Daphnia pulex: one gene and its partner. The protein of the gene in region 2 interacts with the protein of the main gene of each other region in a pairwise test. Links are inferred from orthologs where the notes say so. Each region holds a gene or a part of one and is shown on either strand. Other genes may lie near its edges.

Region 1 (3,167 bases), on a different chromosome or scaffold from region 2:
GGAACTGATGCTGCTGGCGCGCAAGTTGTTGTTGCGTGCAGGCTACTGCCGTTTCCCGCGAATGTTGCCGTTGTGGTGGCAGCGGACGGGGTATTGGCAGGCTGCAGCGGTGGAGGAACCGACGAGGTAGAGCTTGTCGTAAAAGCCAAGCCGCCGCCTTGTGTGTTATTACTAGCACCAACATTTGCATTACTCAACTGGCTCTCAAGTGATCCAACTAACGCGGAGACAGCGTCGGCATCCGCTGACGGGTTCGAGATTAAATCGTCCAGGAAGCTAGACGCCATTTTCTGCTCCGAACCCGGTTCCCAAACTGACTGTAAGCAGCTCATTTCCCAACCTCTGCCCTAGCGGCAAAACGTTGAAACGTGTCACTCCTCCCCTAGCATAGTCAAACCACCTAGTGTTCATTTTTCAAACCCTTTACTATATTTTTTTGAATTTTCTACTCTTGTATTTAATAACCGCGTGTGTGCTTACTCTAAAGGATATCATATCAATGAAATATAATAGCGTGTAAATCTCAGAAGTATGGGGCTATTATAAACTTTACAACTTTTCCTATACTATTTGAACTTAGTCAAAATTATCGCTGTCATCGTCCGTTGTCTTGGCGGTTGGTTTCTGGAAGTAAGTCTTCTCAAGGAACTGGCAAGCCTCGACCAGATTCGGGTAGGATCGCACAATGGATGCTAATCTATTGTCGGGCAACGGTGTGGTCAGCAAAGTAAACACATGGCCAAAGACAACCGCATCTAATTCCGTGCATCTAATGACGAGGAACAAAGTCAGCACTTATTTTATTAGAAACCCATTTTAAAAAATTTAATACCTATCATTAAAGAAATAAAGGTGGTTTCCTAATCGCTCACTTAGCGCATTACAGCAATGATCAACATCTTCATATACCTGCAGGAAAATAATAAATAATTTTCTAATGCAAAAACTATTAGACCAAACAAATCACCTCATCAAGTGTTTTGGTAATCCAGCCAAGAGCAGTTAATTTCTTAGTTACTTGTTTCTGTTTTCTCCAGGTTAGCAGAGTGTTCAAAGGCCAAGAATAGACAGAGCCATAACGAGGACCAGTTACTTCATTCAAAACAGTTTCATCACACCAGCTGATATATAACTAAGTAGGAACAAACACTGCTCATCAATCACATAACACACAAAAGTAGTTACAAATATAATAATATAATACCTCTGCATTTCCCAATATATTGTTTGCTAAAGACATGTAAGCTCTCATGTCTGCTTTTTGAGCAGCATCCAAGTGATCTGTAAGATTTATACCCTACAAAAAAAAACACGTCATAAAATGGGATTGTAGAGAAAATATTGAAAATACCTTGTTGCTCACAAAACTGACAACAGGGTCAAGATCAGCTACTACAAAGGCACCACATTTTATGAAAGGCAATTTTCCGGATGGTGACATATGCTCAGCATTGCTTCTCATTTCCACCTAAGAAAAGAAATAAATCAATAACTTAAGATTTCCTTAGTTTTAGTTTTCCAATTTACCTGAAATTCTAAACCACACATTCGCAGAAAAACTTGGACAGCCAAAGAATTGGCTTGATCTTGCAATAGAATTTGTTCAACTTCATAGGGCTGATAAAGTTTGACGTCAGAAGGCCAAGGTTCCAAAGCTATTAGGTTTTTTTAAAAGTGAGAAATAAATGTGAAAATATAAAATATCCAAAATGATTACCTCCAAGCTCTAATGAAATAGAGTCTGTTAGTAAAACTGATGGCATTATCGTAATGAATTAAACTTTTATCGGCTAAAATAAGAAAATCACAACATCAATACGGAATTATTTTTAGATCGGCTGCTGCGGTTTTTATTCAGAGTTGCCAAATTACGCAAAAATGATGAACCCAAAATAAATTTCAAAATTGGATTTTTCTAATAAGCTTAATTTACTGACCAACTAGTAACTAGATATTTAAGAATTGTAGTAAAAATTTGTCATTGAAATAATTATTGCATCATAAATCATAATTATATTTGTAATCAAACGTATTCAAAATTCAAAATGTTTTGCTGTGAAAATACAGGTTGATAGAGAATGTATTAATTAATAAATATTTCTACCAATTTGTTTTTTATATTAAATATAGTTAAATGTTCACCTGTAACGTAACTTTCTGCTTTTCAACGCCCTTCTAAATGCATTTCTACGAAATGTACTTGCCACATCGTACCGCGAAATGCGAATGTCGCTAGAACACGTCGTCGTGCTCCACATAATAATCAGTTCCCTTTTTGCAAGCGTAAATTTCCCTCTAGGACCGACCTGTTTTTGTGTGTTTTGAAATCTGTTTTTAATTTACTGCTCCTGATTTTTACCTTTAAAAAACTTGATTTCTGACCCAAGTTCTATTATTTGTCGAAGTGCGCGTTATTTTCTCGTGATGGTAATTGATACCAATTGATGCTAAAAAAAACCGTAACAATTCAGTATCTTGTTTCCAGGATGCCGAAAGTGGTCGCAACATCAAGTTATTCACAAGTTTTTCATTGACCGCTTTTTTGTAGTGAAATTTCAAGCTATATTTAGCCTTCGAATAAGGCAAACTATTCGGGGATTTATTATTAATGATATGCGAAACGTTTTCCGGGAGCTCTGCCGACTTTTTCCACGAGACAATGACGAAGATCTTCGTTGAGGGTCCATTTCGAGACTTTTTCATTTGTTTGTTGTATTAGAAATTCAAGGAATCGCGTTGTTTGGTGCTATCTGACGTCCTTGTGTCAACAGACCTTGTCATCGCCGTCCCATCGTAGCCCAGACAGACCAAACCTTTTTCGGAGAAGAGTCGTAGACTTTTGACATTTCAATATTTATCATTCGGGAAAATATTTTTCATCCGACTGCATTTATTATGCACGTAATGCGCTTTCGAGCAATAAAAAACGCAACGGGACTCGGCCAACTCTCTCAATTGAATTGACTGACAATGTCACCAAATTATTTTCCAACCATGTAGGCAAGGCTCCCAACGCAAGATGGCGCTGAGCGACTTCTCATAACAAATGCAGACAGCGCCACGTTGTCACACGTCAACAAGAAACGCCAGATGAAAATTATATAACACAGTAGAAATCGACTACCAAACATTTGTTTTAGTTTATTCAAGAAATTCTCGACTTTCAA
Region 2 (3,220 bases):
GTTTTTTTAGAGATCCAGATTCTATGAATGGCTAGTGATGAATGAACGGATGACTAATACAAAATTTCGTGAAACTTTCACGGAATTACTTCATTCTACGTCAACCCAAGGTTTTGTCTTTCATGGGTGTTGTTGCACAAGAAACAAACAGTTGATTTTTACCAGCGAGTCTTCTGCGAAGGCCAACGCACGAAGAGTCAAGACGCGACAAGACTTTCTCTGAAGGTTGTTGGGGCAAGGATGGAAAAAACCAACAACCAACAACACATGGATCGGAAAATGTAGCTAAGCAGTAGCCAAAGGCTCGCTGCCGGCAGTTCATGTGGAAAGGCTTATGCTTATGTAGTTCAATAATTAACGTTTAAAATATCATGCATTCATGTTTCATGTTCATGCTTGAAGACTAAAAAATGCAGACGTGTAACTAAAACTCTGATTGGAATTTTGTTGTCGTGACGTAAAATGACCACTGGGAATCTTGTTTTACAAGGACGAAGTATGAAATGAGACATGGGAAATTGGCAATTCCCCAAAACTGCTATTCAACATATTTGAATAGGCTACTCTGTATATAGGTCCGCCCATGTAATACTTAAAACTTAAAATGTGAAAATGAATGAATAGATCGCGATTGTGAATTCGGGAAACCCTTCGATTAAAAATGGGAGGGACTGCCGGCCGCAATGTCGCATCCGCATTTCCGACCCCATTTTCCGATATGGATTCTATCCTAGACGAAGCTGTCCCCCACCCACCATCCGATAAAATGCATTTTCTACTCAGAGTGATAGGAACTAGAGGGTTCGTTCGAAAATCAAACGGTTTTCCTTGTTATTTTATATATTTTTGAGCGTATGGGTTGCAGGGGAAGCTCATGCGTGCATCGAGAGATTGGATTTTTCTACAAGGACGAAACCACTGACGCTTTCGCTTGATACAGCGTAACGTTTTCATAAAATTTTGTTTTAAACATTTCATATTTGAATTTTGAATTTTTGGGTTAGATATAACCGTACCAATCATAATATTTTTCGTTTATTGTAAAAAGAAAATTAAATTAATAATCATTCGTTCAAATATTTTCCGCCAGAGGCGCTAGCGAGAAGGACAAAATGGCTCAGAATTTGCCGCAACTCTTAAAGGAATACTTGGGCCCTTAATCTATAAAGTAAGTAAGCTTAGCAGACGCTTGCACTTGCCAAGATCCCGAGATTGTAGCATGTAACTTTGTTTATGTTGTTTTTTTAAAAAGCCCGTGTTACAATTGTGGATTTAAAGGATTCATTCCTATATTTGTGATGGCTTCACATCCAGTCATGGAACTTGATATTTGGAAAGGGGAATGGGGCCTACCATCAATTGACGTTCATTGCTTAGAAGTCATGGTAAGGCAAACAATAATAGGGTAAAATTTAACAAAAAATCCACGTTAGATAACACATTCTTTTTTTTTTTTACTCTTGTTAGACCTATGCCAAATTCTCCGGAACACGGCTGGTAACGAAGTCGACCAATAATCCTTTAAGAACACCCACTGGCTCTTTACCAGTTTTTCAACACGAGAATGAGTGCCTGACAAAATTTGGTGAAATATCAGCTTACCTCAGGAAGAATGTATAGGAATCTATTTTTTATATAATTGTTAATCTATAAATTAAAGATTTTTTGTTTTTCAAAATTAGAACCATACTGCAGATTTTGAACTATCTCCAAAACAGTGTGCTGAAGCATTTGCATACTCTCATCTCATTTATGAGAAGCTTGCTCCAGCACTTCAATTTGTGTGGTGGATTGATTCTAAAAATTTTGTTGAGTTCAGTCGTCCACTTTATGCCAAGCTTTTACCATTCCCTTTAAATTTCTATTATCCTGGTCAATATGAAAAACATGCTAAACAACTAATGGTTTCACTGTATCCTGAAGAAGAGGATTTTTCTGTCATTGAAACAGCAGTAAGTAAACTTGACGTAATTAAAACTGGTATTATTTGTATAACAGGGACTTTATTTTTTGCCAGGTTTATAGACAAGCTGAAGAATGTCTGAGCCTTTTAGCCACTAAACTTGGTGAAAAAGAATATTTTTTTGGACAATCGCCTTCGTCTTTGGATGCTGTAGTATTTGCTCACTTAGCTCCGTTATTGAAAGCTCCCCTGCCCAGTGCTGCTCTGCAAAACCACTTAAAAGCATGTACTAATCTCACTCGCTTCGTGGGACGTATATTGCAGCGATTTTTCCCGAAAGAAGTCAAGGGTACAGTTAAATTCTCAATGTTTCCTGCGACTATTCTTTATACATCTTCTTTTTTTGTCTTTCTGCTTTAGAGCAAGAACAGAAAGAGCGACAGCAAACTGCTAAGCAAGAAGCTCCATATTCTGATACTGACTTTCCAAACAAGTTGCGGAACATAAGTATTGCTGCGCTAGTTTCCTTCATCGCGATGATTGCCTATGCCACATCGGCCGGCATCATACAGGTAAATCGATTAATCGATAATTGATTTTAATACGTCACCCACTAACCTAGTGATTCGGCATTTTATTAGGTGGTGCCTGAAAGCGACGAGGATGAAGAGTGATTGCACTTCACGTCAATAGGATGAATAGTGTCCGTACTCATTATGCTTTTTTCAGTAGACACATGTGATCAAGTCCAGCTTGAAAAGAAAAAGCCTTTCCATACCATCAGAGTCGAATAAATCTGTGTGTATTTAGTCATCAAGCCCAACAAGTAAATCAAAACAATTTCATCGTGTTCATACGGGGGAGGATTGCCAATTTTTTTTTTTTTTATTTTATAATAAGAAAACTTTACTGTCGAGGAAACAAAATAAGAAATACATGAGGGGTGGGATGGTAGAAAGGAAACTCGGCGGACGCAATGGATAGGATACGTAAACTTTGGACTTTGGTAGATCTACACATGGGGGGGGGGGGGAAACAAGCGCTCTCGACGCGCTGTATCAGTTCCGTGATGCTCTGAATTGGGTTCGGAAAAGTGACGACGCTCTCAGCGTTTTCATGGGGCTCTCATGCGGAACGTATATATATATAGCTGATATTTCATGATGACTTGTACATTTTGTTCTTCCATGATTCTCTTTTCACCAGTCGCGCATTGTAATTCTTTCTTAAATGTTGGGAACTCTCGGGGGAAATTTGTCCGAGTCATGCCACCCGGATCGTCCAGGCAGTGTTGGGTCTCTGCACACACATTTTTAT

The links. The genes of interacting proteins can lie anywhere in the genome.
Region 1: the proteins of metaxin-1-like (region 2) and metaxin-2-like interact in a two-hybrid assay, tested with the Drosophila melanogaster proteins (2 studies listed by BioGRID). The link is inferred for Daphnia pulex from reciprocal best matches to the Drosophila melanogaster genes CG9393 and CG8004.

The regions. Positions count from the first base shown.
Region 1 is NC_060026.1:12,796,497-12,799,663, forward strand, and holds metaxin-2-like, read right to left. Parts: upstream 1,878-3,167; 5' UTR 1,764-1,877; coding exon 1,718-1,763; intron 1,656-1,717; coding exon 1,528-1,655; intron 1,469-1,527; coding exon 1,352-1,468; intron 1,298-1,351; coding exon 1,205-1,297; intron 1,133-1,204; coding exon 968-1,132; intron 910-967; coding exon 833-909; intron 770-832; coding exon 577-769; 3' UTR 501-576; downstream 1-500. Other genes in the region: transcription initiation factor TFIID subunit 4-like, read right to left, coding at 1-332.
Region 2 is NC_060018.1:1,526,737-1,529,956, reverse strand, and holds metaxin-1-like, read left to right. Parts: upstream 1-1,171; 5' UTR 1,172-1,298; coding exon 1,299-1,385; intron 1,386-1,467; coding exon 1,468-1,614; intron 1,615-1,682; coding exon 1,683-1,952; intron 1,953-2,017; coding exon 2,018-2,252; intron 2,253-2,320; coding exon 2,321-2,475; intron 2,476-2,544; coding exon 2,545-2,577; 3' UTR 2,578-2,720; downstream 2,721-3,220. UniProt on the Drosophila melanogaster protein: Involved in transport of proteins into the mitochondrion. Essential for embryonic development.